2 linked regions of the Notamacropus eugenii genome follow. The protein of the gene in region 1 purifies or fractionates together with the protein of each later gene. This does not show direct contact. Links are inferred from orthologs where the notes say so. Each region holds a gene or a part of one and is shown in the gene's direction. Other genes may lie near its edges. The genes, in order: KLF11 and SIN3A.

Region 1 (10,261 bases):
GTGTTTGATACCTCTAAATAGACATGAGAGAAGGATGCCCAGAGCAGAGTCTTGGGGGTCATGACCACCTTTAGCAGACATGACCTGGAAGATGTAGCAAAGAAGACTGAGAAGGAGGGGTCAGACAAGCTGAGGAAAATCAGAATAGAGTAGTAACAAGGAAACCTAAGGAAAAGGGGACATAAAGAATGAAAGGGACCATTAGTGATAAAGGTTGCATAGAGGAAAAAAGAATGAGTTGATAAAAGGCCATTAGATTTGACAATTCAGAGATCATTGGTAACTCTGGAGAGAGCAGTTAGGGTATTGAGGTATAGGAAGCTAGACTACAGGGAGTTCTGAAGAAAATCAGAAAAAATGAAGTGGAGAGCTCCATTGTCAGCACAAAGGTCATTCTCCTTGTCAAAGAAAACAAACAAAATCAGGTTAGAGAAGTCTTGCTCTTCTGTATCATTCATAATTATTCCATTTACCCAGTGTAATGGTTCCTTCCTTTCTTCAATCCTTCTTATTTCTCTATCATATATTTTAAAAAGATACAAAAACAGAAAAATGGTTTCTGGTGCACATAATATTTGACAGTTTCAGCTCTTTCTGAGTTTTAGGATGCTGGACACTTTTTAAACACCCCCACCCCCACCTCTTTACCCTCTTTGACATTACAGCCTCTCTCCTGCCCCTACCTTATTTTGAGAATCTGCACACATCTTTCAAAACTCTGCACTGGAATACAACAGGATCATGTTAGTGCTACCATATTAAAATTAATGGACATGGTCTTCCAGTCTTTAATCAATCAGTAAATAATAAAAGGTAAACATAAGTTTTAGGTAAAATCATTTGAAATCATTTTTTAAAAAATGCTTTTTTGCTTAATAGTTTACAGAGTGAAGGGTTGGGTTTGAGTTGTTTGGGGGTTGTTTTCTGTCTTATTTTGTCTATTCCTTGTGGGAGGGCAAAAAATAAAAATAAATCCAAGTTCATTGATGATTTCCCTGAACATCCACATTAGTCTCTATATGACAGTAGTCCCTTTTTCTTACTCACTGTAAGTACCTCTATGTGCATCTTCAGATAATAATTTTTGAGAACTTCTTATGATGCTTCTTACATTAATGTATCCTGTTGAATTTTTGTCTATGATATAGGACCTAGCCTTCCTAGGAACCTTTGAAATCTGCTCTCCCCAGCTCTAGGTGATATGCCAGAATCATATGCCAATTTTCTTCTTCGGTCATAAATTCTAAAATGTAGTGGTTACTTTCTAGTAAGATTCTCATTGATTCTATTTCAGCAATCAGTCTTAAGTGATTGGTGAGAATGGATTTAGATCTTCTGTCTTTTGAAGGGTGAAGTTATCCTTAATGCAATCCAAGACCATTAGCTGTTCTGCTTTTGGTACACAGGGAGATCTAGCAGATGACTGGATAGTTAAAGACCTCCATCATGTTAAGCCTCCTTACCACAATTGTGATCTATTTTTTGAATGCCTCATTTATTTTCTGTCCAGGTGATGTGTGGCATACTCCATGACACCAGTGCTTCTGTTTTTCCCTCGGCTGATCTTTATCCAAATGTTCTCCTGAATTTCCTCACGAATATCTTATCAATTCTGTATGTAATACACTATTGCCTCTCCTTCCTTTGAATATGGTATGACTTTCCAGGGTCACATCCTTAGAATAATAAATCTAGAGCTGGAACAGATCTGAGATGTCACCTAGTTGTGATCTTCGACGTCACTTTCCTCATCTGTACCACTTAGCTGCCCTAAATGAATGTTTCTAGGTGCTAAGAGTAGTCCACAAGCATCCTTACACTGAAGAAAGACTCTTGGACTAAGTTAGGAGACCTGGTTTCTAGTCCATAATTTACTTTATGATCTTAATCTAGTCACTTTTCCTTTCAATTCAGGAAGCATTTAGTAACTGCTCACTTCATCAGAGCTAGCCACTAGCTGTGCCAGCTGCTCTGGATCAAAAGACAAACAAAATAATCCCTGACCTCAGGACACATACCTTCTATGAGGGGTTATATTATAACAAGTATAGAAAAGAGTAAGTAAAGGCAGATAGCTAGTTGTTGTCCTTCATTCTCCAAGATGAAACTTCTATGGTAGAATCAAGTTTCAATGTGTCTGACAGTGGCTGATCAGACCAACACGAGCACAGAATGATCTACCATAGGTCTGGCACAAATAGTCTGAATGTTTGGGGTGGTTATTATAAATTTGTGCATCCTATGTTTCCTTTGAGCTGTCTCAATTCTGCTTTGCTCATAGAGCACAAGCACCTTCTCTGATGTGAAAACACCATGCTGAGCAGTCCTGTGCCAGTGTCTCCTATTTCACACAATCAATTTCAAAGTTCTTGAGAGAGACCTTAAGAATGTCCTTGTATTGCTTCTTCTGAACATCATGTGATCCCTTGCCCTGTGTGAGTTCTCCATAAAATAGTCTTTCTGGCAAGTGTACATTTTGCATTTGAGCAACGTGACCAGCCCATCAGAGTTGTACTCTCTGAAGCAGAGTTCAAGCAAGGACCACAGTGTCTGGTGCCTTATCCTGCCAGGTGATATTCAGAAACTTCCTAAGAGTTCAAATGGAAGTGATTCAGTTTCTTAGTGTGGTGCTGGTAGACTGTTCATGTTTCACAGGCATACAGCAATGAAGTCAGCACAACCACTCTGTAGACCTTCAGTTTGATAGTCAGTCTAATACCTCTTCTCTCCCATACTTTCCTTTGGAGCCTCCCAAACACTGAGCTAGCTCTGGCCATTCTTGTGTCAACCTCATTATCAATGTGTACATCCCTGGAAAGCATACCACCAAGGTAAATGAACATATACACAGCATTTAAAACTTCTCCATTCACTATAACTGATAATTCTACATATGGATGGTGTGGTGGTGGCGTTTTCTTGGTGTTAATTATTAGGTCAAAATTAGCACAAGCAGCTGAGAATTGATCCATACTTTGTTGCATCTCAGTTTCAGAGACTACATTGAGTGCACAATCATCTACAAACACAAAATTGTGCACCAACATTCCCTCCACTTCGGTCTTGGCTTGTAGCCTTTTCAAGTTACTACTAGAGTTTACCAACAAGTAAAGAAAGTAAAGTAAAGGTAGATAAGGAGTTAACTGTAAAGACAGGGTCATACTGCAGATCCGAGCTAATTCAATCAGGGAGAAACTTGATATATATATATATATATATATAAAGGGATTAGAGAGAAAGCTGGAAGGACTGAAGAATTCGGTCATGAAGGGGCCTCAGTTTGGAGTGATGGTGAGGTCTCCCCAGTGATCTCTCCTTTGGTACCTCAGGTAGAAGAGAGGTTAGTCGAGAAACATTTATAAAGTGCTTACAATAGGCCTGGAGCTGAAGTAAGCACAGGTTTTGTATCCAAAACTAAAGACAATCTCTGCCCTTACAGTCTAAAGGGGAAAGATAACACACAAAAGGAAGGTGAAAAGTGGGTGGGAGAAGCTACTTGGCTTGAAGGCTTGGATGGAGAGTTTCCAAGAATTCTGAAAGCTATGTAGCTCTGGGGCAAAGGGGAGAAAAACTATGCTGGGCCCCTTTTTAAATCAAGGCCCTAGAACCCACAGCCCTCCTTTGAAGTCAGAGTCCAATGAGAAGGGCAAAGGATCCTGCGGAAATGTAGAGGTAGAGGTAAGGCTAGGTCTTAGGAGTTGATGGGGTAAATTAACTGAGAATGCAGAGCATTCTCTTAATGGATACTGATGTCACCAATAATGAAGACAAGTAATAAGAGTTAGTGAGGAAGGCAGAGTCTTTGAGAAATGAGAGAGAGTCACCTGGGGCCTGGTAGATGAAAGGAACAGGGATCTGGATTGAGATAGGAAGATGAATGAAATGAACCTCACAGCAGAAGTCTAGTACCTACTTGCCCAACATATCCTGGAAGCCAGAGAGAAAGAGCAACCAAAACTACAAGGACAAAGTTTCTCTGCTGAGAGGCAGAAGATGGAAGGAGAGAGGTCAAAGCAAAGGAATGTTTGTTAGCAAAAAAATGGGGGTTCCAGAGGCTACAACGGAAGATGAAAGTAGACGACAGGGGTTCCAGAGGGATGGGGCTAAAATGGAAAGGGATGAGTGTGGGGAGAGGTAGTATGTGAAAGGCACTGGGCCTATCTTAAAAATAAGGGGGTTAAACTAAATGATCCTTCAAAAGCCTTCCAACTTTAAATCTAAGAATGAATGAATAAAAAAAGGCAATTATTAAGCTTTAATAGATGTAGATCTTTGTACTAAGTGCTGGCAATATAAAATCAAAAGCTAGATAGTTGCTTCCTTTATTGAATTTACATTAGAATAGAGGGAGAAAATACATATTGGAGAGTAATAGCCAGGGGGTACATTTTGGTTTGGAAAGTTAGGGGAGATTGTGAATGGTTTCTTATGCACAAACCTTTTCCGCAGTGGCTGAAGTGTTCATTTGATCTTAGCTTCTGAACTAGAAAGGGTGAGAAGAGATGTGGAGTTGTCTTGCTTCTTGGGGCCAAAAAGTAGCCCAACAAACATCCTTGGATGAAGAAAGAGGGTTCTATTAATTAATTTATCTTAACGACCTTATGCCAGCCACTTTTCCTTTCAATTTCTGGAAGCATTTAATAACTGCCTTTTTCTTCTGAATAAATACAAGGATGAAACCTAAATAATCTCTGATCTCTGGAGGTTTACCTTCTACTAGGGGTGACAACCATGTTCAGAATTGGAAAGTAAAGGTAGATAAGGACTTGTTTCACTGTAAAGACAGGGTCATACTGCATATCTCAGATTATTCAATCCAGAAAAAAACTGGTTCCGAATTTTAAAGGGATTAGTCATGTGGCTCTATCTTTGCTAGAGTAGGACAGAAAGCTGCAAGGACTGGAGAATCTGGTCATGAAGGGGCCTTAGTTTTGGGTGATGGTGAGGGCTCTACTTTGATCACTCCCACAGGTACCTAAGGTGGAGGGGAGGATGGTTAATGTTTATTATCAGTCACCTGTAATAGAAGTGGCCAATGAATTGTTGGGGAGCACGGATGGAGCTGCTGATCTGATAGAACTGCCAAGACACGAGGCACTCAAAATCTGAATCTCCTAGACCCTGAACATTTAAATCCCTTTTTGGGTGGAGGGGGATGTCTCAGATGATAAAGCAAGAAGCCTCGGACCACGAGTCAAGTCTCGCGGTTCAGGTGGCTCCCTTTCCCTCTCTGTTCGTCAGTTTCCTCCTCGGTCTAAGGGGCGTGTGCACAGACTGCGGACCTATCAGAGAGGGGGAAGGGGCTGGAGATGGCAGGAATCACCAGGGGCAGATCTGGGGGGCGCTCCCCTCTGCACAAGCCCCTCTTAATTCTTCTATCGCCCTCCTCCTTTTCATCACTCCCTCTTTCTCTTGCATGTAACTTTGTAGACGCTGGCTCTGGGCTGCCTCCTTAGATGGCTCCTTCCTGGAGGGCAGGGGCTGTTTTGCCCATTGGTATCTCGGCTCTCAGCACAGAGCCTGGTACGTAGTAGGCGCTTAATAAATGTTCATGTGTCAGCGCCACAAATGCAACTGATAGCCAGCCGGTGTGTCTTGAAAGAGCTGTGGGAAGCATCGACGTGCAGGGTTAATTTCACTTTAGGACAAAGAATGTAGGTTACTGGTCTATTTTTATACTATGTATCCCAAAATACCTCACGTTGGCAGTCCACACGGCTTAAACCGAACCCCAGGCCAGCAGGAGAAAGCAACCAGAAAGGAGAGGGGGCAGGCCGACGTGGCCCCTTTAATACGCGCCGCTGCCCCGCCTCCATCCCGCCCCCTGCGCGCCGCAGGGACATCCCCGGCCGCCGCCGCCGCCGCCCAGGCCGCCGCCGCCGCTGTCGCCGCCGAGACCTTTCCCCTACTTTCCACCCGGCGATTCAGTTCTTCCGCCCTCCCCCTCCACTCCCCTAGGTTTTCCCCTCCAAGCCCCGCCCACTCTCCTCGGTTCGGTTCTCCCGCCTCCCTCTCTTCTCCAGGACTCTTCTCTCCCAGCCCCGCCCAATCCCTCCTCGACACAAACACGTGCCCGCACCCCGCCCCCTGATCACGCCGGGACCAGGCTCCGATCACGCGTCGCCCGGCCACCCTCATTGGTCCGGCGCTTACTAGATCGCACACGATTGGCCCAGCCGTTGCCCGTAGCCTCCGCGGCGGGGCGCGCCGTATTTTGGTTCGCCTGTGAGCCCCGCCCTCGCTCCCGGGCCTCTTCGCGCCCTCCTCCTTCCCCACCCCTTCTCCTCCCCTCCCAGCGCGTCGAGGGCCGTGGCCTGGGCGGAGCCGTGTGCGCTGGCGGGCAGGCGGGCGGGCTGGCGGAGGCGCGCGCCCGGCCCGGGGATCCTCGCCGGCCGCTCTCCCGGAGTCCGTGCAGGGTTTCGGAGAGCTGCCGCCCGCTTCCCACATGTGCCGCAGCCGCCCGGGCAGGAGGGTCTCAGCTCGCGCCGGCTTCGCCGCTCCCCGACCTCCCTCGCCATGCACACTGCCGGCACGGCCAGCCCGGGAGATGCGTTCGCGGTGAGTTTCCCGGCTGGGCTGGCCGTCAAGTTGGCTGGTGGGGATCGTGGACCCGCTCGGGTTTTTTGCTTTTTTGGGGGGGGGGAGGATACTCGCTCAGCCTCCTGTCCCCCAGCCTGGGCGCAGGGGCGTCCCGGGCGGGCCGGGGCTTGGCTTTGGGAGGGGGCTGTGCGCGTGCAGCCGCTTTCATTCGCTCTCGGTGCTCACACCCCCTTCCGCCTGGGACTGGGTGGGTGTGCGCGTGGGGGGCTTGCCGGGCGGGGAAGGCGGGTGCGGGGTGGGTGAGATCCCGCTGCCAGCCTAGTCCCGTTAGGTGCCCGGGGCGGGGCAGGGCGTGCTGGCAGTCCTGACCGTCCCAGTGCAACCTCCGGGCGGGCGCCCGGGGAGGCCTCTGGCCTCGGGAGGGACTAGGGGTGTGGACAACCCCTTCGGGTTCGGGGTCGCGCCTTGCCGGGTCTCGGAATTGGAGATGGGGCTTCCGGCCCGGGCTGGCGGGGAGGGGGCGGTCCTGGATGCCGGACTCAGTCTCCCATTTTTTCCCTCCCCCCGAATCGCAGGGTCTGCCTACGGGGCCCCAGCCTAGCCCACCCATGACGTCACCGTGCCCTTGTAGGGAGTGGGTGGTGTCTGGGGCGGGGCCGGGGAGGTGGGGTTCAAGGGGCCCCTCCTCCAGGGCAGAGCGAGACTTCCTCACTCCGGGGGCTCTGGCCGGAGGTTGGTGGGGAGTTGGGTTTTGGGGCTTTTAGGTTGAAAAGACCAGTGGGACTTGACCGGACTGGGGAGAGGGAAGACCTACGCCCACTCCCCTTTCGGGAAAAATGAGCTTGGAAAGAAAGGTCACTTTCTCTGTTTGTCTTTTTGCCCGGGAGGGGCTAAAAGCTCCCCCCCAAAAAAGCTAGGTCAGGGGTCCCTCTCTTATCCTTGGGTCTGTGAAGTTGGTTTTGGCTTTGTATTTAATGTTTTGAAAACTGTTTCGGTAGAATTTGTCTCTTCTGTAATCCTGGAGGTGTTTTATGCATTTTAAAAACATTCTGAGAGTGGGTCCGTGGGTGTTAGCAAAGGGCCCACGGCACAAAGAAGTTAACTTTGGGGCTGTCTTAGGTGGACGGTGAAGGGTTTACAGCAGGGCAGTGGGGTTCCCTTACCCCCGAATTCTACTAATGGATAACTGTGACCCCGAGAGACCCAATGACTCGCCTGGGGTCGTTCAGTTAGTTTTTGGAAGAGCAAAGACTGCAGTTCTTAAAATCCCAAAAAATTATAGCCGGAAGGAATTTAAGAGATCATAGATTTAGAGTTGGAGGGGATCTTGGAGGTCATCTAGTCCAACCCTTTATTTTGTAGGTGAGGAAAGAAAGAAGCCTATGGAAGACACGCTGAAGAAAGCAGATAACAAGTAGACCTGGGGAATGAACCAGGTCCTAACTAGGAATCCATCTGTCTTTTTATTATACTATGCTGTATTAAACTGCCTTTACTTCAGCAGCTAGCTAGCGCAACCTTTACAGTATGGATGCTCTGCTGTAGAGGTTCTTAACTTTTCTTTTTTTTATAGTCCCCTGTGAAACCTATGGACACCTTCTTAGAGCACTAATGTTTTGTTTTAACTCAGAATGAAAAGAAACGCTAAATGTTGGTTAGAGGTTCGTAAAAATAAAGATGTAATTTTTTCCCCATCCAATTTATGGATCCCCTGAAATCTTCCCACAAATCCCAAGGGCCTCGAGTCTCCTTAACCTGAGCTCTTAACCCAACATCTGAATACAGTACCTGTCGTTGAGAAGTAGTCATCCAACCTTTGATTTAAGTCCCTCCAAAAGGGGAGAGGGGGAGGAAATTCATTGCCTTTCCAGGAAGCCATTCCTCTTTTGGCCGGCTCTCATTGTTAATAAGTTATTCCTTATTCAAAATCTGCCTCAACAGTTTCCATCCTTTGCTGCTTCTAGTTTTGCTATTTGGAGCTGTAGAATCTCAGAGTTGGAAAAAAGACCTCAGGTCACATAGTCCACTCAGTGCTGTGGATTGGATGAGGATCTACGGAATGAGATCTCAAACTCATGTTTTCTGACCTTAGGTCTAGGGATCTTAATATGAATAAAAGCTGTTTGTGGGCAGGAACTGATTTTTGTTATAAGTCCCCAGTGCCTAACACAGTGTCTTGGCACTATAGTTACCTTCCACCAAATGAAGTCCAAAGTCTAATTCCCACCTACCTTTCTAGCTTTACCTCTCCCAGGCTGAATACAGCTGGGCTACTCAATAGCCAGAGATACTAAGAAAACTCAGATTCCAAAAGGTATTTACATACCATAAGGGGTTTCTGGAAAACCTGGCATTTCATCCTGTTCCACTTTCCCTCCCAGCAAGTCCCCTAAGGGTCTGTCTGATTCTCTTAGTAGATTGCTAGTTTTACTAGCTTCATCCTCTTGGCTAATAGAACGGGATAGTGGTTCTGAAATATATGGATTTGTATTTAGGATTGGGGATGCGTTGGGGTTTTATAGACTTCACCCCATAGTGCTAAGATCATTTAAAGGAGTGTTAAAGTGTTTTTGGTGGAGGCTTGTGTGATTCAGGGGCAGAAAGGATTTGTTCACAGATTGCTTTCCTTTGGTTCTAGGTTGACATTTCTGTTGAGTGCCTGGGTTAGCATGGTTATTGCTGTTACAAGTACAGCTTGGAAAAGGGGGCCTTTTGGGGAAAGCAGCAAGGTCTTGAAGTCTTTGCTTGAGGTTGTGAGTAGGTACTTATACTTTAAGCAAAGAGCCCTGGATCTTCAGTTAGACAACTTGGATTTTATTAATTCCTGCCCTGCATCTGTCACATCCCCTCAATGGGTTACGATTTTTTCATAAAATTGGAGGAAGGGACTTGGGCTAGATGATCTCTTCAGTCCTTTCAACCTCAGAAACCTCTGACAGAATTTTTGATTAGTGGTGTTATCACAAGCCTGTGTTCAGGAAAAGGCCTACTTTGATTTCTTGAGTTTGTTTGAAAGATGTCTCAGTTCCTGAGATAAAGTGAGGAGATTTGACTCCAGGATCTCTAAGGTTCAAACGTCTGATTCTTACAAGTATTGAGAGGTAGGAGGGTGGGGAAGAGAGCACAGTGGGAAGAATTATGACATTGTAATGTAGGAAATCTGGGTTCCAGTCCCCCAGACTCTTCCTTGGCTCTACTTCTTAGCTGTATGACTAGGTATAAATCATTGAACTGACATGGGTCTCAGTTAACTCTGTGAGTAGGCAACATGGTATAGTACTCAAACTTAGAAAAAAACCTGAGTTCAAATCTTGCCCCTACCACTTACTAGCAAGGTGAGTTTGGGTTACTTAAAACATTTTTCCCCATTTTCAATTTCCCTGTTTATAAAATGGGCCTAATAATACCTTACCTACCTTGTAAGTACCCATTGGTGAAGGTGCTGTGTTGAAATTCACCATTAGTAGGGGGTTAACTCAGTCTTCTACACTGAGGATGGTTGTTTCAGTTGATGCTCTGGTTCTGGCTTTTACTTCTGTGATTGAGGTTTTAGTCATTTACTCTGAAAAATACGTATTTTATTTAAAAAATATTTTCTAGAAATCACTGTGCTTCACAGATGAGAGTGCCTTTCTTTTTTAACTGCATTTTTTTCTTTTCCAGCTATGGTTTTGAAAAGAGAAAGTAAAATCCCACTTACAAAATGTGATTTAAAAGGAAA
Region 2 (10,118 bases), about 310 Mb from region 1:
CTTTATCTAATATGACACCCAGTACTCGGATTCAGTTTTCTTTCACAATATCTTTCATATCAATCCATTCCTTTTCATTCTCACTATCAGTCCTTTCATTCATACTCATAGAATCAGAGAACTGGAAAAGACCTTAGAAGTCACCCAGTCCCAGTTCTTTATTTTACAGATAAAGGAATGAAGGGCTATAGAGAGATGAGCCAAGTTGTACAAGGTCATCTAGGAAGAAACAAAGCCAGGATTAGAACCCAGCTTGTATGACTAACATCTTGCTTCTTATACTTCTCACTTCTGGCCTAGATTATTAGAATACACTGACTTCCTTCTTCTAATCTCTGCCTCTAATCCATCATGCATAACTCTACCAGAATAATTTTCGTAAAATACCACTTTAATTATATTACTTTCCTGTTCAGAAAACCATAATCACTTCTTGTTATTTATAGTCAAGTTAACAAGCATTTATTAAAACTTACCATGTGCCAGAGCAGCTAGGTGGTACAGTGGATAAAGCACTGGGCCTGAAATCAGGAAGACTCGTCTTCCTGAGTTTAAATCCAGTCTCAGACACTTACTAGCTGTATGACCCTGGGTAAATCACTTAACTCTGCCTTAGTTTCCTCATCTGTAAAATGAGCTGGAGAAGAAAATGGCAAACCATTCCAGCATCTTTGCCAAGAAAATCTCAAATGGGGTCACAAAGAATCAGGTATGACTGAAATGATTCAAAAACAATTATGTGCCAGGCACTATGTTAAGCTCTAGGGATATAAGTATAAGCAGAAGAAAAGCGAGTTCTTGACCTCAAGAAACTTATATTCTAATGGAGGAAGACATCATAAAATGGAGCTGAAAAGGAGAGAATGAAGAAGATGAGGGCACGTTAGAAGGCATACTATAGAGGAAGTTCACTGTAGAGAATGTCCAATCTAGAGAAGAATAAGAAACATGGGTATCCTCCCTAACAGGAAGGTTCTGAAAGGAACCAGCCAATGAGAGGGATAGACCGCAGAATAGAGGATGATTCGAGTGTGTGAAGTCCAGGGGTAGTGAGGGCTTCCAGGGTGAAGAGGTGTCTGGTAGCACTGTAAAAAAAAAGACTGGGAGAGGGTATAAGCTAAACTCTACACCCCTTTCTCTGACATTCCACACAGTCTGCTTTTTCTCCATCCTTATTTGTCATAGTAGAACTTCCTGATAGGTCCCTTTTTAATTCAGTTAGGACAGTATCATTCAATCTTCAAACAATTAGTGATTGTTTTCCTGTGCCCAGCCCTGTGTTAGCCGTTAGTGAAGGAAAGAAAGAGATAGGTAGACACAGTCCTTTTCCTCAGAGAGCTGATGATTCAAACATGGAGGCAATAAGAAAGTATGTGAAATATTTCAATATTCCAAGGACCTGTGATTGGTATGGCTGTCCCCTCCAATAAAAAGGTTGTGGTCCCTCTCTATCCTGGTAGCCATTCTTCAAGAATTGCTCAGATATGTCCTCAAAAGAATGGATTTGTAAAGTCACTGATCTGAATGTGTGTTCCTTCTACCCCATTTCTGTGTACTCATACTGGAGGGCTCCTGTTCCTGTCTGCACAGAAGTTTGTCAACCATACAGCTATAGACTCTCTTTCCTTTTTTCTGATAATCCTGAGGATGCCAGTGGAAGACTCACATGCTTCTCCTTCTCTTATCCCTTACCTTGGCCCCATAACGAGCCCATCTTTTTCTTTTGTCCATTTCTCTGATGACATCTTTTACTACTTTTTTCCTCCAAAATTCTCCATTTGTTAGATGTTGCAGCTTGTTTCTTCCCACCACATTCCTCTCCACTGACCTCTGTGGCAGGATATTTTTTTTATTTCTTCTGAGATTGTTGGGTTCCATGTCTTTAAGCCACACAATAACACCAACAGACTACAGGTACTGAAAAGATTAAATGGATTTATGTATTATTTCTAAGAGAGTTTGGAGCTTTGCAGTTTCTGGAAGGCAGTTCAACCTACTCTCCAGTCATTTAAAGTTCAACTCTTTGTCCATTTGTACCATCTGTCCATATACATACTGACAGACAAGAGCTAGGTTTCCAAACAAATACAAATCATAACCTGAGTGACTATTCCAGATAGTCTTTCATGAGTAAACACACAAACCAAACTCACTTTAGTGATGATGGAGCTCTTCTAGGAGGCTCAGCAGTGTTTTGGGGTTTGATGCAACCAGCTTATAATGTAATGTGAAAATAATATGAAGAGCTGGGATAGCTAAGAAATTCATCACCCATGGGCCAACTTGGTGATGTCTCTCTGAACTTGCTTAAGCTGGTCCACAGACAGCAGACCATCACTGGCAAGCCATTCTGCCTTAGTGGATCTGCTGGCATAGTGAGTCATCATTGACACACCCTGGTGAGGAATTGCAGGAGGACTTGAATGGAGGAGAGTGAATGAAATAATGGGCAAACTCAAGATGGGATCATTAAATGATGAATAGTTCAGAATATGCCACAGACAGCAGAGAAGTTCAGAAAGAGGGATATCAGTGAGGGCTGGAGTGATCAAAGATGATTCCAGGGAGCTATTGTATAAAGTTGTATGGCATGTTAATTTTGTCTCTTCAACCAGTTTGTGGGCTTTTTGAGAGCATATCTTACATGTCTCTGTACCTGTGTGCTCAGTAAATATTTGTTTACTAATTGAATCAGATTGGGGATGTTGAAGCCCTGCCAATATGAACTCTATGAATTAAGACACTGATTTGCTAAGCCTGTCTGTCTATTTGCTATCCCCCTCCTTTACCCTCACTCCCATGAACTCCAAGCTGCTGATTTTCTTTAAGGAAAAGAAAGCACCTGAAAGTCAAAGCAAGTGGTGATTAGATAGCTGTATTAGATGGGACAAGCCTGGGTCTGGAGGACAGCAAATCACTCCTCCCTCTTTTTTTTAGCTGGAGGACAGAGGACAAGCTCAGGCCACATTGGTCTTTTTCCTGTGATCTGGGCCCAGAGGAGCCCAGACTGGGACAAGTCTTGCTGTCTTCTACAGCTTGGCTTTAAGAGATTAAAGCCAGAAGTCCTTCCTCTTCATTCCACTTTTCCAACTGCCCCTTTGGCAAAAAGCATCCTCCACTGGAATCTCAAAGTGCTTTGGGCAGGTTGTTTAGCCCTTTTCTCAGGGTTCCGAGAAATTTTTCCTGTTGGCAGTTATATGTATACACTATCCTCAGGCCACAGGAAGGACTAGACAGCTCTTCCAGGGCCTCCAGCAGCCAGGGTGACCTTAAAAGTTCTCCTAGGATTGAAGCCCTTGCTGTTCGCTATCTGACCTCACCTCACCTAAAGGTCCACAGGGAAAGGTCCTCTCTCTCTTTTTCCCCCTCACCTAAAGCCACTACCATTCCTGCTTTAGCATTCACTTGCTCCAATTTGCCTAAATTTAAGGCAGTTTGGGGATTTCCCTTCTGGTCTCTTGGAATTTCTAATTTCCTTCACGGTTTTGCTCAGGGATCACCATCAGTAGGTAGCCTTTCATGATTCCCAAACTGGAAAAACTCTGCTCCCTCCCCCCAACTTTTGTATTTCTTCAGTATATATTTTGCATTTACTCATCTGTGTATTGTCCTGGGTTCTAAGTAGAAGATAAGCTCCCTGAGGGCTGGAACTATTTGTCTGTGTCCTCCATACCTAGCATAATGCCTGACAAATAGGGACAGGAAGAGGAGGTGGCCTTAGATTTCTTTGGGATGGGGGATCCTGAGTGAGGACATCCCTCTAGAATGCAGGTTGGCACCTTAGCTTCAATTTTCTGTCTTAGAGCAGCAGTTCTTAGCTGCAATCTGATAAGGCCTGTGGACCCCTTCTCAGAATTATGTTCTTAGTACTTGAAGGAAATTAAAATTTCAGTTAGAGGTTGGTGAAAATAAAGATGTAATTTTTCTTTCCATCCAAGTTCATGGCTCCTGTCTCCGAAATCTCCAAGTAGCTTGTGGACCCAAGACCCTGACACAGAAAGTTGCCTGTAGCACTGAAAGATTAGGTGATTTGCTCAGTCAGGGCCTTCCTGGCTTCAAGGTCAGGTCTCTACCCACCATCTCCCTCTCATTTCTTGGGACAAAGTAGGTGCTTAATAAGAACTTACTGTATTATAAAGTAGCTAGTAAACACAAGGAGGGGAGGAAAACTACCAGTGATAAAGAAAGCTTGGAATAGGACTAGAGTCCATGCACCAGGAAAGACAGACCCTTGGCTGGCCTGGCCACGCCACTGAAACCCTGGTCTTGGCCCAGTACCTGGTACACAGTAGGCACTTAATAAATGTTTATTGACTGCCTGAGGCAGGCTTGATTCTTTCTGCTTCCATTTGGTTTAAAGGTTAGGCAGAGCTCTTCATGTGAAGGGTGGTCAAGACCCTACTTTGCCTTGGGAGAGGGATGGAAAGGAGGAAAAAGAGGATAAAAGAGGATGTCTTCCTTGCTTTGTACTGGTGGCTGAGATGAAGGGTGCTGTTCTGCACTAGGCAGTACGGGAATAAAGACGAAAGTGGGCAGGGGGGCTTTGTGCTCAAGTATCTTACAGTCTAATAGGGATAAAAGAAAAGATTACAGATTTAGAGTTGGAAAGGACCCTGAACATTACCTAGTGCACGACCATCAGTTTATAGATACAGAAACTGAGGTATAGCTCTATTCACAAGTAACTCTCATATTAGTCTGTGAACTATTAGGAATCAAGGAGCCATCTTTGTATGTCTCCAGTAAACGCAATGGATGCCACTCTTGGTAGCTTCAACAACCATTAAATACCAACTGCATGCACTGGGCCACACTAGAAGGTCTAAAGTTGAAAGCAGACAGAGCCCCTGCTATTAACAGGAAGGACCAAACGAGGATCACAGATCTAGAGCTGGAGGAGCCTTTGAAGGTGGTCTCACGCTGGCCCATCACTTCACAGCCTAGGAAGGTGAGCCCCCAGATCTCTGGTAACTGGGGCACACAAGGCACAGCGTGGGTCTGACCAGTCTGAGCTTTCCGGACAGCCCGGAATGAGGATGGGCAAAGTCCTGATTGGCTCGCGGACCCCGGGACCACGGAACTGCTTGGCTCGGCAGTCCCCTGCCCAGATCGCACCGGGGCGGGGCTGCCCCCACACCGCTCCTCGCGCCCCCTCCTCTAGGAGCGCCCGGGCCCGCGTGAAGCACAGGCGGAGCGCGAAGGCGGGCGGGCCGGCGACGGCCCCCGAGAGCGAATCTGAATTTTGGAAGCGGGGGAGTGGTGCAGCGCGGGAAGGGGAGGGGAAAAGGGGAGGGAGGCGGGCTCTGGTGACGTCAACCCTGCGTGTGGCCAATCCTGTTTGGGGGGCGTTCCCACCCATTCAGGACTCCTCGCCTGGGCTTTGAGGGTATGTGAACAGCTGCTTTCCATTCAGTACCCCCCCCAATATCGGGCATTTCGGGGGTGTGGTGTCTAGGTCTAAGGGGCGCAGGGCGAGAGGAGGCTCGGCGCTGGGGGGCGGGAGGGCCGGGCCTCCCCGCCTGGACTGGCGAGGCGGGGGTGGGGGGTCGCTGGCCCCCTCAGGGGTCTCCGTCCGCCCGCCGGAGGAGGTCTGGGGGCGTCCGCCGTCCTGGGTTTGAAGGGAGCCGGCTAGGGCCGGGCGTGGTTCTCTTAGAGGATCACCGCCCCTCCGGCTGCCCGTGAACTTGACCGCGGGCTGGGGGGAGGGGGCTGCAGTGGGCGCTCGGAGAGCCCCAGACTGCTCCGGGCCGCGGACGTTCGTGGGCCCGACAGCCCGCGGGCAGGACTCCCAGCCCCTCAGCCTGCGCAGACGGACGTCCCAAGACCCGAGTCCCGGGGCCAGCCCCGGCGAGCGGGCATCCTGCTCCACGTCCGAACCCGCCGGGCCCGCGTTCGGCCCTCGAGCTCGGGGAGCGTCCCACGGGGACGGCCCGGAGAGCGGGGAGCAGCGGGGGACGGGCGCGGGGCAGCGGAGGCAGGAAAGGGGGCGGTGAAGGTCGGGAGCGAGCGAGCGGGCAGACCCGACTCCACACGCTGGGACTCGGGAAGAGGAAATGCATCAGTGCGCGGGGGGCGGAGCCTGTGAGGGAGGGGGAGGGGCGCTGTCAGCTGTGCGCCGCCGCGTCCGGCCCGCGGTGGGCGGGGCTGCCGGCCCGGCAGGCTCGGGGAGAGGGGAGGCTTCGCTTCCTCCACTCCGGGACCCGGCCTGTTTACAACCTGTTCTGGCGTTGGCTTGGGCAACCGGGGGCGCGCAGGGGGCGGGGCCGCTCATTCTCTCCTCCCTCGCCTTCCCTCCCCATTCCGGCTGCAAGACTGAACCCGCCCCCTCTTGTTTCCTATTGACTGAGAACGACTCCATTTTCCCCCCCCCCTCCTAGTTCTCTATTGGTTCTTGCTCTCCCTCCGCCAACTCCTCCTATCGCAAAGCCTGGCTCTGGTTCAAGTTGCTAGGTTTCTCCCCCTCCCCCAGCCCCGGAAGCTGGATGAGTTAAGGCTAGAGGGACTCAGCGTCGAAGTGGATTGGCTGATGGGGTGGCCCGCCTACCTGCGGGGGGAGGAGAGCGTGAGGAACAGTAGGGTGCGCCCCCTCCCCTGCCCCACACGTGGGAGGCCCGCCCCAGGCCGCCCTCCCGGAAGTCGAGGGCTGTGCACCCTCCTGGGTTTGAGCTAGGGCTAGGCCTGCTTGAGCCGGCTTGCCTGCAGATGCTCTGCAGTGCGGAGCCTCCGGCGGGGCCAAAGCGAATAGCGTCAATCCGAGCCGCGCCCTGTGGGTGTGGGAAGATGAGGGGCTTCCTCCTGGCCCCGAGCTCGGCAGTGCTGCGGGGGCTCTTTTTTCTCTGGCCCGAGAGTCCCAAGGCTGCCGCCTCCAGCCTCCGAGCGTCGGCAGGAAAGCTTGGAACCCCCGCTCGGTCTGGGCTTGATCTCGCTTCGGGCCAGCTCCCGCCTCGGCGGCCCGGATCCTCCAGGTCACCTGTTGGGAGCTCCCGGAGAGAGTTTGCGTTCCTCCCGACGCGCTCCGTGCCTTAGCAGTTGGGAACGGGCCGGGGAGGCGGGCACACCTGTTGCCATCCCACGTTTGAGAACATTCAGGCTGAAGGAGGGAGGGAGCTAGCAGAACCAGAAACCGCGGCAAGCGAGCCCAGCTCCTGGGTGTCAGGCCACACGCCACGGAAAACCACATCGTGCGAACAAAGCGCGCTGTAGTTTCCCACCGAGAATCGGTTGTTGCGGGCTTAGTGCCCATCACAAACTCGCTTACCTGCGGCACGCCCGTAGCCGAGGAGGCCACTCTGGGTGTCCCTCGCCTCCTCACCCCCGATAGAAATAAATAGGCTACGTGCAGCTCTCTGAACCCGACCTCATCCTCATGGGATTCTAATTTTGGGCAACTAAAAGGTTGTTGTATTTGGAAATAGCGGTAGTCGTGAAGAGAAAAGATCTTTGTGAACCCATTTCACTTTTATTTGCAGTGGGTTGTAGATAAGTGGATGAGGACTATAAGCGACCTTCTGCATTAGACTCCCAAATGTGAGGTTTTTCTCATTTCCCCTTTCTCTGTACCCCGAACTGGCAGCTTCAATGGACATTCCTCCGCTTGATTTTTATTTTTGGCACGAGGGCCAGGTTGTTTGCTTAGCTTGTGAGGATCAGTGCTTTCTCCCACAGTTGTTAGGGTGACAGGGGTCTGTTTAGGGTTCAGGATATTTCGCCTTTTTAATTACGTCCTTCCTGAACAGTACAATATTGGGGGTTTGGTGGGTGAAACAGAAGTCATGGGGGAGACTAAATCTTCCGTGATGCGTGCCCCTAGTCTAGATGCAACCAGTTAGCTGAGTGCAGCACTACTGGATGGTTGCATTTGTGACACTGTGGTCTTTGCTGTAGGTTGCAAGCATTTGCAAAGGAGGTGGGTGGGGTGGTGGTTAAGAGAGTAGGGGCCGTCTTAATTTTTTTTCTTACTCCTCTGTGTGCACGGATGGGGACGGAGTCCAGAAGCTGCCGCCTCTCCTCTTTAAGCAGGGATCCCCATTGCTGGCGCCACCCCTCAACTCGGGAACCCGGAATTCTCTAGGGTTCAGTCTCTAGTGTAAACATTCCACAAAAGGTCTTAGGAGGCACAGCCTCCTAGTTCAGGGGCGGAGCTAGCTGCTTCCTGGACAGGTCTTCAGCCCAATAGCCGTGCTATCCTATGACAATTCATCCAATCCCGAGGGAGGTGGGCGGGGTCTCAGGGGCGGTGGGGGTGGGCGGGGTCCGTTTCATTTACGGACATTTTACACCGCACCAGTTACCTTCCTAGGGTGGTAGAAGATCTGAGGGGGGAGGGAAGAAGAATTTCTTCCAATGAGGTAGCTAGGGGGGTGGGAGCTGAGGTAATCTTCCAATGGGGTAGTAGGAGTGGGGCGGGCTCCGTGCCTTCCTCCAATAAGTTGCAAAGAATCTCCTAGTTTTCTCCAATGACCTAGCGGTGGGTGGGCGGGAGTCAACTGGCAGCCTCCAATAGGTGGGTCTGAGTTGGGGGAGCTCCCCGCCAATAGGGGTGTGGGGAAGGTAAGTGGCTCCCCCGGCGGTGTGTGTGGGGGGGGCGTGGGGGCGGGCCTTAGGCTGGACGGGAGTAGTGATTGGTGAAGGACCTGATGAACAGTCTACGCAGCCTGTCGCTCGGTAGGACTGGGTCTCCCCTCAGCGGGGCGGGCAAGGGGAGTGGGCGGGATTTCCCGGGTAACAGAGAAGCGGCCGCGGCGGTAGCGGCAGCGGAGACGGTTTCTTCGTCTTTCCCCCCCTTCCCCTCCCCCCTCGGAGTTTCCCTCCCCGGGTCTGGCTGCGGCTGGGGAGCGGGGCCCGTGAGCGCCCCAGTCCCCGCCGGGGGACTGCCAGTCCGCTCCGGCCCCGCGCCGAGAGCCCTGCTCCGGCCTCCCCTCCCCGCCCCCTCGCTACTGCCACCGCCACCACCGCCGCCGCGCAACCCGGGAGCTCTCGCCGCCCGAGACGGGACAGACTTGTGAACGGCCGAGGCAGCTTTGAGGTGAGAGCGAGGGGCCGGCCGTCAGGCGGGCGAAAGCGCGGAGCCCGCCCTCCTTCCCTCCCTTCTCCCCGGCCCGCCTCCCTCTTTACACCCCGCTGGGCCCGGGAGAAGGAGCGGGCAGGGCTCCACTCGCTGTGCGGCTCGGGGTGAAATGTGGGGGTGGGGAAGGGACTCAAGGGGTGTGTGTACGGAGGGGGGGGCGGGTGATTGTCCCCCTGCGCTTCCCGTAGAGCAGGCGACCGGGGTGTGTATGTGTGTATGAGAGGGTGTCTCGCGCGCGCGCGCGGAGGGGGGGGGGGACGGAGGAGGTGAGGGGCGGAGCGGGGAGCTCCCTGTGCGGGAGGAGGGAGGGAGGAGGGAGCTAGCGTCGCGCCGGTGCGCGCCGAGCGGGGCGGGCCCTCGTGCCGCCGCTTCGCCGGCGGGGAGGAGCCGGGCGCGCCCGGGTGCTGTCCCGGCCGGGCCGGCCTCGCGCCAGGTGCTGTCGGCGGGGGCTCGGCCGCCCCGGGCTCGAGCTTGGGGCCCGGGGGGCGGAGCCTTGGCGGCCACGGCCCTCGGCGCGGGAGGCCCTCCCTGGGCGCGATGGGGGCTGGGTAGGCCAGTCCCGGGCGCGGTCTCGGAAGGCGGCTGGACGTAAGCCCGGGCCCTCCGCCGGGGGCCGCGCGCTGCCGCCCCTTCCAGCCTCGGCGCCCGGGGGGCGGGGCTGGCCCGAGGACGTGGCTCGGGGGACTCCTGCGGCCTGCAGAGGGGGAGCCCCGGGAGTCCCGGCAGCGCTCGCTGGTCAGGGCGTAAAAAGGACGTTCTGGGGAGAGGGGCAGCCCAGTGCGAGGCCCTGCGGGGACGGAGCTGCCCTTGATAAGGGCTACCAGCCGGAGCCCGTCCCTGCCTCTCTGGGCCCGGTTGCAGAAAGCTCCAGCTGAGTTGTGCGAAGGCCTCCCCGAGGCGGGGGCGGGGGCTGGATGGTGTGTTCCAGACCCTCATTTTGCCGCCGGAAGCCGGCGCCCGGGCCCCGACACCGTCCAGGTATCTGGACTCCAACTGCCCCATCTGTCCTCCAGTGGGGCCTCTCCAGCCGAGACCTCTGAGTCCTCTCCCT

What was found.
Region 2: the proteins of KLF11 (region 1) and SIN3A purify together in Homo sapiens (affinity purification with western blotting, with the first as the bait; 3 studies listed by BioGRID). This does not show direct contact. The link is inferred for Notamacropus eugenii from reciprocal best matches to the Homo sapiens genes KLF11 and SIN3A.

What each region holds. Positions count from the first base shown.
Region 1 is NC_092872.1:548,763,390-548,773,650, reverse strand, and holds the start of KLF11 (Krueppel-like factor 11), read left to right. Parts: upstream 1-6,303; 5' UTR 6,304-6,516; coding exon 6,517-6,558; intron 6,559-10,261. UniProt on the Homo sapiens protein: Transcription factor. Activates the epsilon- and gamma-globin gene promoters and, to a much lower degree, the beta-globin gene and represses promoters containing SP1-like binding inhibiting cell growth.
Region 2 is NC_092872.1:240,366,398-240,376,515, forward strand, and holds the start of SIN3A (paired amphipathic helix protein Sin3a), read left to right. Parts: upstream 1-5,336; 5' UTR 5,337-5,386; intron 5,387-8,713; exon of another isoform or gene 8,714-9,025; intron 9,026-10,118. UniProt on the Homo sapiens protein: Acts as a transcriptional repressor. Corepressor for REST. Interacts with MXI1 to repress MYC responsive genes and antagonize MYC oncogenic activities. Also interacts with MXD1-MAX heterodimers to repress transcription by tethering SIN3A to DNA.